Linked DNA regions of Arabidopsis thaliana. The protein of the gene in region 1 purifies or fractionates together with the protein of each later gene. This does not show direct contact. Each region holds a gene or a part of one and is shown in the gene's direction. Other genes may lie near its edges.

The links.
Region 2: the proteins of AT5G28850 (region 1) and AT3G57890 fractionate together in Arabidopsis thaliana (co-fractionation; one large-scale study listed by BioGRID). This does not show direct contact.

Annotation. Positions count from the first base shown.
Region 1 is NC_003076.8:10,876,248-10,883,486, reverse strand, and holds AT5G28850 (Calcium-binding EF-hand family protein), read left to right. Parts: upstream 1-2,001; 5' UTR 2,002-2,208; coding exon 2,209-2,361; intron 2,362-3,211; coding exon 3,212-3,439; intron 3,440-3,529; coding exon 3,530-3,635; intron 3,636-3,717; coding exon 3,718-3,817; intron 3,818-3,930; coding exon 3,931-4,036; exon of another isoform or gene 4,037-4,070; coding exon of another isoform or gene 4,071-4,127; coding exon 4,128-4,218; intron 4,219-4,763; coding exon 4,764-4,905; intron 4,906-4,996; coding exon 4,997-5,144; intron 5,145-5,277; coding exon 5,278-5,387; intron 5,388-5,471; coding exon 5,472-5,628; intron 5,629-5,771; coding exon 5,772-5,897; intron 5,898-5,983; coding exon 5,984-6,127; 3' UTR 6,128-6,699; downstream 6,700-7,239. UniProt on the Arabidopsis thaliana protein: Regulatory subunit of type 2A protein phosphatase. Involved in post-transcriptional regulation of HMGR but not in root growth regulation in response to salt.
Region 2 is NC_003074.8:21,436,231-21,442,403, forward strand, and holds AT3G57890 (Tubulin binding cofactor C domain-containing protein), read left to right. Parts: upstream 1-1,853; 5' UTR 1,854-2,040; coding exon 2,041-2,547; intron 2,548-3,058; coding exon 3,059-3,166; intron 3,167-3,254; coding exon 3,255-3,395; intron 3,396-3,540; coding exon 3,541-3,915; intron 3,916-4,000; coding exon 4,001-4,105; intron 4,106-4,234; coding exon 4,235-4,375; intron 4,376-4,713; coding exon 4,714-4,917; intron 4,918-5,028; coding exon 5,029-5,121; intron 5,122-5,215; coding exon 5,216-5,327; intron 5,328-5,421; coding exon 5,422-5,465; 3' UTR 5,466-5,658; downstream 5,659-6,173. Other genes in the region: AT3G57900 (import inner membrane translocase subunit Tim17/Tim22/Tim23 family protein), read right to left, coding at 6,051-6,155.

The DNA of each region.
Region 1 (7,239 bases):
GGGATAACCATTCTGTTTCGAATCGGGCGATCTGATGTTTTCTGCTTTTTGAAATTTAATAAGATTAGATCAATTGTTTGATCGTTTTTTACTTTTTCCGAATAAATGCCTTTGTAATGGCAGCAAACTTTGTTTGATTTATTAATATCAATTTTATGACTTTCACATTTAAGTTTGTTAGATGACTTATAAGTTTCCTGCGAATCCTCGAGATCGGCTTTTGAGTAGATTGGTTTTCACCAGAAGTCATACTCAATTTTTTCTGTCAAAGTCCGAGTTAGATGTTAAGTGCGAGACTAAGCTTGGCTTTTATGATAAAAGTATTCGGTGTGTACTAGGCGCGAGACGTCTCTCGGCTTATGCCTAGTAGACCTATGTATAATTTGAAGAGGGAGTTGCGGGCTATGTAAAAAATAAGTGAGGCAGATTCACCATATTATTTGGGGAGCGAGATGTTGGGCTCAGCTTACTCCCCATAGAGCATCTGTTCGGTAGATCGCGAAATACAGGGTTTGGCTTATAGTTGATAAAACATCCAAAACGACTTGTTTCCGAATAAAGAGTTGATAAAACATAATAAACCTAAAAAAAATGTTAAAAATATCACTTAACAATTTCTCTCATTAATATCATTACTAGATGCCTAAGATTAATTTCATCGTTGGTACATCGGGATAATGTGGTATTACAGTGTATGACTTGCAAGTTTGTATATGAACTTTCTAAAATAAGATTTTCTTGTTGTGTTAAACATCTTCTATTACCTTTCGATTCTCTAGGGCTGGCAAGCATGACATGGCAGTCTCCCATATAGAGAATGATCATTTTTGTTGTCTTCCATAGCTAAATGACTACTATAGTTTTTCTTTTCCCTAGTTAATGTTGTTAATAAGGGGATAATTTTGCTAAATTTGGTAAAAGTACATGAATTATATATGATATGTGATTTAGTCAAGAAAAATTATGTGAACCTGATTAGATTTTACCATGTCTCAGGTTTTCAAGAATGCAATTTTTATTTCCATGGGCTAGTTGAAATAGTTACCTATAAAATATCTTATGACATAAATCGATCTAGATATGATCTACATACAATTAGAAAGCTTAAACGTGGAAACTTAATTGATGATATGCTTTATGGTGATCAAGAAGAAGATATCAACAAAGTGTTGAGATACTAACAAAAATAGTTTTTTTTTCTTGTTGTTATAAATATTGAGTCAGACTTTAAGTTACACGTATTTGCAAACTATAGTTTTGTGTCAGTTTTTTTGATATCAACACATTTCTATTTATTTGGCAACAAAATACTTTTCATAAGAGCATTTCTATGTCATATATTATAATTTATGTGATAAAGATAAAGATCACGATTTCCCGATTGACAAAGAAAACCTTATGAAATATGGAAAACATGATATGAAACACATCATATGTTTCTCATTCGTCAAGTATTTTTTATATGATATATAAAACTTTTTTTCTTTCTAGAATTCATGGCTCTTGTATAAGGTAGATTGTCTAACTCGTTACTCTAGATAGTATATTATATGAAATTTGTTTCGTAAATATTTTTCCTTAAGATTGGACTACCAATTATGAAGTAATATTTTAACTAATGTGTGGTTGACAAAATATAGAAAAAATCAAGAATTCAACCACATGTTGAGAAAAAAAACTTCTACTTCAAATACACTTACTTATTTTTATTATTTAGTCAACGAAATATTAATTTATTTATGGACATATTTTTTAAAATACCATAAAATTAATTTTTATTATAAAACATTATTAGTAGTTTATATTTTTTTGAAAGTACCACTAAAATATATTATTTTCTGAAAATACCACAAAATTACTTTTAAAGTTTTCAAAACTAGATCCTAAACTCTAAAAAATAAACCCTAAACCCCAAAAAACTTAACTCAAACCCAAACATTTAATAAATTATAAACCCTTAAAATCAACTTTTTCTGTTTCAAGTATTTTTTGGGTATCTCTCTAATTTATTTATTTATTTCAGATTGCTCAAAAGAATAAATAAATAAAAGAATTTGGCTGTCTCATTTCCTTGTTCGGAATCGGAGAAGAAGGAAGACTAGATTCGATGTGTTGGTGAAGAAGATCTCGACTTTGTTCAAAATTCCAATTTCGTTCGCCTCAAAGATCATTCTCTCATCTTCTCGACTTTGATGCGATTGATTAAATATGGTGGATACGGTTATTCCCGGAGATATGGCTTGTTTGGATGCAGATTTGTTGCAGCTTCAGGAAATGTCTTCCTTTGTTCTCAATTCTAAACCTGGATTCACTCAGAAGCTCTTCGACCAGTGGCTTTCTCTTCCCGAAGCTCAGCGACAGGTTTCTGCCTTTTGAATTGCCTTCACAATTCTTACACTCATGCTTCTTAGCTTACTCTCTGTTACTTGTAGATTCCTGTAAAGTTCGAATCTTTCTCTGATAGTGTTACAATGATGCCTTAGGTTGCTTAATTACTCTGTTGTGTTGAGGATTGGTGTAAAGTTTGAATCTTTCTTTGATAGTGTTAGTGAGTATTACAATGATGCCTTAGGTTGTTACTGAGATTTGGTTGCTTAATTACTCTCTGGTGTAAAGTTTGAATCTTTTTTTTTGTTTCTTTGATAGTGTTAGTGAGTATTACAATGATGCCTTAGGTGGTTACTGAGAATGGTGTAAAGTTCGAATCTTTCTTTGATAGTGTTAGTTAGATTGGTGTAAAGTTCGTATCTTTCTTTGATACTGTTGGTGAGTGTTACATTGATGCTTACGTTACTGTGATGAAGTTTGAATCTTTTTTGGATAGTGTGAGTTAAGACGCTTAGGTTACTGAGATTTGTTTCTGTTGAGGATTGGTGTAAAGTTCAGATCTTTGATAGTGTTAGTTATTACAATGATGCTTAGCTTACTCTGTGTGAGTTGTAGATTCGTGTAAAGTTCGAATCTTTCTTTCATAATCTTAATTACTCTCTGGCTTCTGTTGAGCATTGGTGTAAAGTTTGAATCTTTCTTTGATAGTGTTAGTGGGTGTTACAATGATGCTTAGGTTACTGAGATTTACTCTGTGGTGTTGAATCTTTCTTGGGTTGTGTGAGTTATGACAATGATGCCTTAGGAGGTTACTGAGGTTAATTACTCTATTCACTGGAATCTCTAGTCTAATCTTTTTCTCGTTTCCTAATCGGTTTTCTAGGTTGGATCATTGCTTAAGGATGCTGTAGCTGGAGCTCCTATCAATGTTACTGGAAGTGCATCGGGTTCTAATTCTGCCACTATACCATCTATGTTTCCTGCGGGAAGCGCTCCTCCTCTTTCACCAAGAAGTTGTGGTTCACCCCGTACAACCAAACAGAGAGCCCCTTCTAACTTAGGTTCTACTCTCAAAGTAGTCAACGAGCCTGTTAAAGAGCCTATACCTCAGGTTTCTTTTCCTCTTTTACTTCCTTCTTTATATATATAGAGTAATGGAATGGAGTTAACTCACTGATTTCTTAACTTGAAATGATTCTAGTTTTATTTCCAAAATGGTCGCCCTCCACCAAGCGAGATTAAAGAGCAATGTATGTTTAGAATCAATCACTTCTTTTATGGTCACATGGATGGCTTGCAGATACAAGGTTAGAAGTCAGTCATTTGTTTTCTACTATTTATATTTTAACTGTTTATTAACTTTTTTCTCCATTTTCAATCAATACTCAGAATTCAAGTTAGTCACCAGAGAAATCTGCAAGCTCCCATCTTTCTTCTCCACTTCCCTTTTCCGGAAGATCGATCTCAACAATACAGGTTTTGTTACTAGGTGTGTGCTGCTGCTTCTATGCTTTTTTTTTTGTATGGTGCTTCCTCTTCATGTCTGCATAGTTTACTGAAACACCACCCAGTATAACAGTTTTGTCGTGTTTGTTTCTACAGAGATGCATTTATTGATTTTTGGGTAAACGGGAACATGTTGATAATGGATACAACGACCCAAATCTTCAAGATCCTAAAGCAGAAAGATCAGAGTTTCATTGTTAAGGTAATTTTCTTTTGATTTGCATATTCAGTCAGTCATGAAAGCGAGTTTATACTCCAGATTCTATTCTTTTCTTTTCTTTTTTTCATGGCAGGATGATTTCAAACCACTACTTAAAGAACTGTTGGCGACGCATCCTGGCCTAGAGTTCCTGCAATCCACACCTGAATTCCAAGAAAGATATGGTTAGGTCTCAACTTCATTTACATTTCCTAATTTATCTAATGTATTCTTTTTCTGCTTGGTATTGCTTGAGTAATGGTGTTTAGTAATTGAGTTTGGTTGTACATTTTATTCTTCGAAGTATATGGTTAGCTACAGCCCTAGTTGAGAAGAATGAGTGAATAAGTTTGCCATTTTCGGTATGATGTACTTATCTAAATCTGTCGAATGGTTACCACATCAATAGTATTTCTAGTGAAATAAGATAATTTTGATAATTGATGCATCAAGATACACTAATAAATGTGGTATTACTCTGTATGGATTTGAAACATTTTATAAGATACGGTTTCTTTGTTGTGTTGTGTTGTGTTAGACATCATCTTATAACTTGCAAATCCATAAAGCTTTCAAGCACGGCATGAATCATCTTCTGTCTATGAATCCTGCAGATGAATCAATATTAGAGAAAAAAAAAAAATCTGGAGCTTGTTTATGAATCATGTATTTTGATGAAACAGCTGATGCTATGCTACATGCTGATACAATTTGCATTTTGATGAAACAGCTGAAACTGTCACCTACAGAATATTTTACTACATAAATAGATCTGGCAATGGTCGAATTACATTTAGGGAGCTTAAACGGGGAAACTTAATTGATGCTATGCTACATGCTGATGAAGAAGAAGATATTAACAAAGTGTTGAGGTACTGACAAAAACAAATTTGTGCTATTGTTGTATATATGGTATTGTTTCTGCTCATTTAACATGACTTTTCTACTTACTTTGGCAAATAGATACTTCTCATATGAGCATTTCTATGTCATATACTGCAAGTTCTGGGAGCTGGATACGGATCACGATTTCCTGATTGACAAAGAAAATCTTATGAGATATGGAAACCATGCTCTTACCTACCGGATTGTCGACAGAATATTCTCCCAGGTTCTGTCTAAAAAATCTTTCTACTTGAGGATTTTGTTTATATTGCTTCCATTTAAGAGTTCTGTCCTCGTTCAAAGTTATTATTACTCTTAAGAGGACTGTCATCATGGATAATGCATTGGTTTCTACTTAGGTTGCTAGGAAGTTCACTAGCAAAGTTGAAGGGAAGATGGGGTATGAAGACTTTGTCTATTTCATTCTTGCGGAAGAAGATAAATCGTCAGTGCCTAGCCTAGAATATTGGTAAGTTGTGATATAAGGGTCCGAAAGTTGCAGACAGATACGATTTTAAGTCTTTTTATCTGACACAAGTATACGTTGGACTAGGTTTAAGTGCATAGACTTGGATGCAAATGGGATTATAACGCGAAATGAGATGCAATTCTTTTATGAAGAGCAGTTGCATAGAATGGAGTGCATGGCGCAAGAGGCTGTTCTTTTCGAGGATATCTTATGTCAGATGATTGATATGATCGGACCTGAGGTTCAACAATATGTCTCTTGTTTTTTTCTTTCTATATTAAGGAAGATATATGACAGTCACAGAAGTAGTTTGGGTTCCCAGTTTTTCTTTCTGACTCTTGCGATTTTGTCTTGTGTTTGATTGTTTTTTATTTCCTTCCACAGAACGAAAGCCATATAACGCTGCATGACCTGAAAGGCTCAAAGCTCTCTGGAAACGTCTTCAACATCCTTTTTAATCTAAACAAATTTATGGCATTTGAAACCCGGGATCCGTTCCTCATTCGTCAGGTACTACTCCACGTTTGATATTCAACCTTGCTGTTTTCTTGACACAATGGGCCTCTTATAACATTTCAAATGTCAAACGAAAACAGGAGCGCGAGAACCCGACATTGACAGACTGGGACCGTTTTGCACATAGAGAGTATATTCGGCTATCAATGGAAGAAGATGTTGAAGATGCATCCAATGGAAGTGCTGAGGTTTGGGATGACTCGTCACTGGAGGCTCCCTTCTGAGTTCAAAGAGGTAGCAAGTCAACAAAAGAAAATCATAATCTCTAGAATGGATTTTATTTTTTAAAAAAGGAAACAAAAAAACTTAGAAGTTGAAGGTTATGGATATGTTGTTATTTCATCATATTAGTTAATCATGCAAAAGAGAAACAGAAAGTCCCTGAGAAGAATCTTTGGAGCTTTGTTGAGAAGGCAAGTGAAAAAACAAGGGAGAAGCCAGTAGTATCATACTTAGCTTGGAGTTGTTTTCTAACTTCTCTTCATTTTTAGCTGATTTTACAACTATATTGATTAATAATCGTCGTCGTTTAGCTCATCGCTTTACGGCTTCTTCATCTGTATTGCATTCACTTTGCTCCATCTCTGGGTTTTTTGTTTGTACTTTAGAGCTTTGTTACTCTCATGATCTTCAGTTGTTCAAAAATTGTGAAAATCAATGCCATAGTTACTTTATATGTTGGTTAGTTCTTGTTTTATAGGAATCCTAGGACATGAATCTTTTAGAGGTATTGTTTTTATGGATAAGAGAAAGCGCTAAGGATTTGTACTGCTTTAGCTTAATGTTTTATCAAATCGGCACAAAAAAAAACTGGTAACAATGGTAAGCACTAAGCAGTTACTAATCCGACCAATTCAAGTTTACTATTCTGATCACTAACCATGTATCGCAACAGTACAGGATGTACTAAAACCGGTATAATAAAATGAGCGTTTAATACCTAATACTTTTTGTTGAAATAAAAATATCTCATCTAATTATTTGTAGCTTCAAAATACTTCGTATATAAACTATTGGTGATATCAAATCCGGAAGCTAACAGCCGTTAACAAGGGATGAAGAAGAAAGAAGAAAAAAATCAAAAGAATTGCTAAGAGGAGTACTCGAACTCACGTCCTTTACCCCTATAAATTTAAGCAAACTTTAAAGGGGGTGTATTGAAAGTAAAATTTTAAGAAATTTGTGTATAATTTATAAATCATATGTTATTCAAACATGGATTTTAACAACTTTCGTGGCTAAGGAAGTAATGCCCAATTAAAATAGGTCCATCGATTCAACAACATTTTTTGTGCCACGAGAAATCGATTGGGGTTGTGATCCAACTAGCAGGATT
Region 2 (6,173 bases), on another chromosome or scaffold:
AAATATGTAAATCTTTTCTCCAGAGGTTTAAAGACAACGTCACGGTAATTGTTTCGTCGAAAAATGACTATTTTAAACTGTACGGTTCATGGTCACTTTTTGTGTATTTACATAAAGAAAAAATATTAAATTTTATACTCAGAATTAGGTATGGGCACGAAGCGGATATCCGGAAAAATTATGATATTTGTTATTCGATTCGTTTTAAACGAATACTTGATTTTGTGATTCGCTTTACTTCGAAAATTTCCAGATATCCGGAATTTCGAATATCCGGAATTTTTTGTGATATTTGCGGATATCCGCTTTGATACATTTAAATATTAAAAAAATATGTATACTATATAACTATATCATATATTCAAAAAATTTATCCGTGCGTTCCTTAATTGGTGTCTCCGTGTGCTTTTAAAATAAGTTCTAAATACCAAACATAACCGTTGTTGGTATCACCGGTCAACAAAATATTATCAAACTAATTCCAAAACTAAAACCCGATAGTTTTTTGATGCCATTGATCAAAACATAACATAAAAAAAAATGATCAAACAAACATCTTAACATAAAAACATAAAATGACAACAATACACAAACTATTTATGATATCTATATATAGATATACTATATTTTCTAATATATATAAAAAGATACGGATCGAAGCGGATATTCGATTTTTTAAAAAACAATATTTATTATTTGATTCGATTTTTACGAATACTATATTTTTCTATTTGCTTTGCTCCAAAATCTTACGAATATTCGGATTTTTCGAATCAAATTAAATCAAATACCGAATCGAAACGGATCAAATCAAATCAAATCAGAATATTGAGCTAGCTGAATGAATGAGATAACCTAAGAATCCAAAAGTTGATAGTGTTCCCTTTCCGAATTCCAATAGTAGCTTGATAACATTTATTTAACGGCGATAAATTCAACCGTTAGTTTGATTACCAATCAAATAATTGCTTGCAATAGACGGATGAAACGAGTGGTAAGAATAGGTGATTGAAACAAACGGTTAAAAGCTTAAACAAAATAGGTGAGTTTGCAACCTCTCTTGTTCACCATTGGAATATTTTAGTTATTTAACGTTTCTTAGATTTTTAAAACTGTAATGTATTTGAATTATTTACTAAAGAGTTTTGTTTTTCTTTGTTTTTTAAATATTTTTAGTTATTTATTAAATATTTTAATTTAGTTTTTTTTTTTTACTGTTTAACCGTTTGTTACTAATCATAACTATTATTTAACGGTTCATTTTAAATTATTTATCATTTTTTCTTTTAATATATTTTCTAACCGTTTTTTTTTATCAGTCTTTTTTGTAAGTGTTAAATAAAATAACCGCCTTATTTAAACGATATTACCAATTGGTTTAATTTTAGGTTGTTCATCTTTTCTAACCGTTTTTTTCTACCCGCCTTTTTCTGTAACTGCTAAAAAACATAACCGTCTCATTTAAACGATGTTTACCCATTGCAAACCATTTTCCTTAAACAAGCGGACAATATTTAAATTGCAATGAAAGCGAGTTATGAGTTCTTTTGGCCTAAACTTCCCAATTTTATCTCTCTTTTTCCCACTAATCTTCTAACAATTTTAATTAACAGTGACAACTTACAAGTACTTAGGTAACCAAGTATATTTCCCTATTGTAAAACCTAATTATGAGTTGTGATGATCACCTTTTCTCCTTTTGACGAACGCTTAGGACCTAACTTATTGCAACAATGGCCTAACTAAAACTTAAATGCGATTTGCATTCAATTCTCAAATGGGCCTCTTTAGTTAACATGTTATCTCCGTTCATCTGACGTGTCATAGCTCAGATCAAAGGTTAATCTACTCGTAAATCCAACGACCAAAGAAACGAAGCGTACGTTACTAACATACACGTGCACGCACTGTAACCATCTCTCTCTCTGCTCTTCTCCTTCAATGAAATGATTCGTCACCCAAAGAAAGATCTGCAACTTCACCACCGGACCAGTCTCTCTCTATCTCTTCTGTCTCTCTACCTCGCGCGACGAATCAATCATGACTGAAGAACAAGACCTCATCGACCAATCACCACCACCTTCAGCACCCGACCCTGAACCAAACTCGAGCACGAATCCGAATTCAGTAATCCATCCAAGGCGTGTGTCTTTCGAGCACGGACTCCTCCCGATCCAGAAACTCGTTTTCACCGACCCGATCCAAACCTTAGCCCCTGTCAAGCAGAAGCTAGCCGATGCGGCTTCGAATAACCGCGTTGGATCGGCTGCAATCGCCGACGTTCTCCAGATCTCCGGCGACCATGCGCGTCTCGTTCTCGAGACTCTCGGTTCGGTGCTTCATTCCGAGTCTGACCCTCTGGTTCGGGCGAAACCTGAGGAAGTTGATTCCGTCGGAGCTGATTTGCGGGATCTTATTTTGTTCCTGTACATTCAATCGTATAAGAAGTTGCTTCCTAGGACGCATAAGGACTCCGCAGCGGTGGCTGATGTTTGGCCATCGACTTCAGCTTTTGATGGATACTTGTCTGCGTTATCGCCAATTCAGGCAAGTTTCTTACTTTTTTTGGCCCTCTTATTATAATGTGCCTCAATCCCAGCGCCTGCGATTTGTTTGGTATTGAAATGGAACTGTTGTACTCGAGTATGGAATTGGAACGTGGTAGAGAATAACTTATTTCCATTTCGCATTGTATTTAACTAAAATTTGCAATGCAAGTTTAAGTTTTCTGAGTCATTTGATTTACCTGAAACTTAGAGTTAAGCAATGTCGGAAATTTGGGTGATTAATTGAATTGATGGTGGCTATAGTTTCGTAACAATTCTCAATGAGGAAGATGCTTACTTGTATTTAATTGCCAGTCCCCTTTCTCTGATGACTCTGGGGCAATGGTAATTGGTTAGTTTACTAACTAAAGTCAAACAGTCGCCAGCTTGCTTTGTTTTGTGGTTCGGAATCTGATTCTTTTTCCGTTGTACCTTATTTTGTTTGGTCCTTTCACGTGGTTTATTTGGTGATAATGCTTGGTGTGTTCTTGAATTTTGACTCGGGTCTCCAGTCCTGTAATATTCTGTTTCCTGTGTGGTATGGATGTTCTATTGAGTCTTTTAGAAAACAGTCATATAATCTTAAGCTTTTCAGTGTTTTCTACAGTCACTGTTCTTTGGTATTCTATCGTTTCTCATCACATGGGTCGAACCAACTTTATTGGAGCTAAAATTGTTATTTATATCTCCTTTTCATCATTTCTGCAGCTTGTTCGCAGCAACAGCCGTCGATTTATGCCATCACAGGCAGATGATGAAGCTCATCAGTTGTCATATCTGCAAAAACATTTAGCAAACATCATTTCTCTCCTTGCAGAGCCTGTGGAGGGAGAAGGAGATGAATCATTGGTAAGTTCTAATCTTTCTTATATTCTCAGGGGGTGTCACTGTTCTAAGCTACAAGAATATAAAATTCTGATGTTGGAATAAGAATTTTTTAGGAAATGAAAGAGAACACAAGTTAATTTTTTTTTTCTTGTCCAATATCGTTCAGGTTTTCTCTATGGAGGCGTTCGAGCATCTGCGTTTTCTTGTTCAGTTTGGTGATAAGGGATCTGATGTATCTCCATTGAGCCAAGCTACTCCTTTTTTTGCAAATTCTGATCCGGATATGCCCGCTGTTCCAGTCCCCGCTTCCCAAGTGCATGACTGGCTTCTGCAAAACATAGCTTCCGCTTTAGAAAGCATTACTGAGAGAATTTCTGGAAAAGAGAACGGACCTTCTAACGATCAAGATGATGCGATGTCAGATGTTTGTGCTGCTCCGAACAAGGTTGCACCTAGTACTAGAGGCCCGTGTTTAATCGAGGGAGTCTCCAAGACTTCACTTGTTAAGCAAGCCTCCGATCTAAGGGGTAGATCTGTGAAGGTCTGACTGTTCCTTGTTCCGTTTTTCTTCCAGTCATGGAATCTCTGTGCAAGCATGTCAACTCCTTGTTTTGTGTATTTTTCAGGTTGTCAATTGCCATGATTCTGTAATTTATCTTTTAGCACCATTGCGATATGCAACTGTGCACGGATGTTCTGATACTACTATAGTTTTGGGAGCTGTTGGCAAGGTATGGAAACAATGCTTCTTCCTTCTTTATCTTTTCTGAAGATAGTCAAAGCAACATTTAACAAGTTATAATATCTGCCAACTTTTATTAAAAGATGTATCAAACATAATTCCGTATTTATTTCTGCAGGCAATAAAAGTTGAGCACTGTGAAAGAGTTCATGTGATTGTAGCTGCCAAACGAGTGTGCATTGCCAATTGTCGTGAATGTGTATTCTTCTTGGGAGTCAATCAGCGGCCACTTATTGTTGGTGATAACCACAAACTGCAGGTGAAGCTTCTCTTTAAGATTGTGGTTTAATTTACAAGTTTTATGTCATGTTGCTCTTATTTACCTTTCTGATATTAAGGTAAAAAAAATTGAGTGGCTAGACTTTTTACTAGATTTAGTTTGGTTAGTTTGGTTAATAAGCCGTTTCGGACACGTCATCAAGTCTAGTGGAAACAAACTTGGAGGGGTGGCTAGACTGCTGCTAGATACGTTTAGTCAAATGTTTTCCTCAAGAAGGTTTTACTGGTTTTTAAGAGTGCGGGCATTGTCAGATATTGCTTCTAGTGATTATGGGCTTCTATTTTTAAAGTGCTGGCATCAATTTGACTTTGTTTCAGGTCGCTCCATATAATACATTTTACTCTCATTTGGAAGAGCACATGAGGGAGGTAGGGCTTGAGCCAACGATCAACAAATGGGACAAACCATTGGCCCTGGGAGCTGTGGATCCACATGACTCCCTGTCACATCCTGCCGGTGTTGCTGATGCACAGGCTGAATCAGCTGCTTCTGTAGACCCTGACCAGTTCGTAAACTTTTTGGTACATTTTCTATTTGGGTCTAACATTTACGTCAATAATTGGTGAATGCTTTTCAGTGTCATGAAGCATCTAATGACGTGTTTTTCGGTGGTATCAATGACAATGGCACAGATCCCAAACTGGTTTAGCGGCGCGGAGCTTGGTTCGACGAAAGACAATCCATTTCCATTGCCAGATGCTTATATGGCAGCTCAGCAGAGAAACGTATGTTTTAAAGTTATACTTAACCAGATAAACAAATGCATTTGTTATTTTTGTCCATATCTGATCTTGTATCTGCAATTTTTTTTGTCATCAGCTTAAGAACTTTGAAGAAACAAGACGATCGTTAAAAGAGGCGCCTCTAGAAGAAAACCGGAAACGAGAGCTATCAAGTGCACTCCATGTTTATTTCAAAGACTGGCTTTACGGTAAGAAAACTTTCTCTGAATCGATCCCTACTTTACTTTATTGATATGCATCATTCATTAGGTTTTGACTTAGTCTATGTTTTTGTTGCGACAGCATCTGGAAATATAAGGCAACTCTACTGCCTACAAGGTGACTAATAAGAATAATAGACCAAGCGGAAAGTGTCTTGTTCATGTAGAGCTCCTTCGATCATATTTGGCATATTGCTAGTGAAGAAACCCCACCCCAAGACCAAAAGAAAAAAGAAAAAAGAGAAATCAGCCTGATTCAGTGATTTGTAGTTTGGAACCAATACTTCACAACGTAACTTATCTGCACAGAAATACTCTCTTAAAGCTTTCGTTTAGATTATTGTTTTCTTGATTTCTGCTTTTCTTTCCTTGACATTTCAATCCATCGTTTTTGTTCCCTTCTCTATTGAAAATCTCATCTTCAAATAGAGCATGATGACTTGAATTGTTATAAGTTATAACTTGTAAGCAAAACTGTTTTGATAGATAGTCTTGTCTTGGTCAAATAGATTTAAGTGGACGCAAGAGTTAGGCTACTACCATGGTAGGTGCAAATTTCTGAAGAAGTTTTAGAGCTCCAAAATTTCTCATATTTGCAGAATCTCATATTCGTAGAAACATCCAAACAATGCAACATAACATGAACATCTCAAGATACAAAAACAGAAGGACATGGGATGGAACAGAGATATCCATGAGCGCAGGATCCAGCTAATAATGAGTTCTTGCTACTTTAGTCATTGTAATGTGTGCTCCATTGAAGAAATCTCTCTTAGCTCTAAAGTTCTGCACCAACTGTTCAACACCAATGAACACCTCCAATGGCAGCAAAAG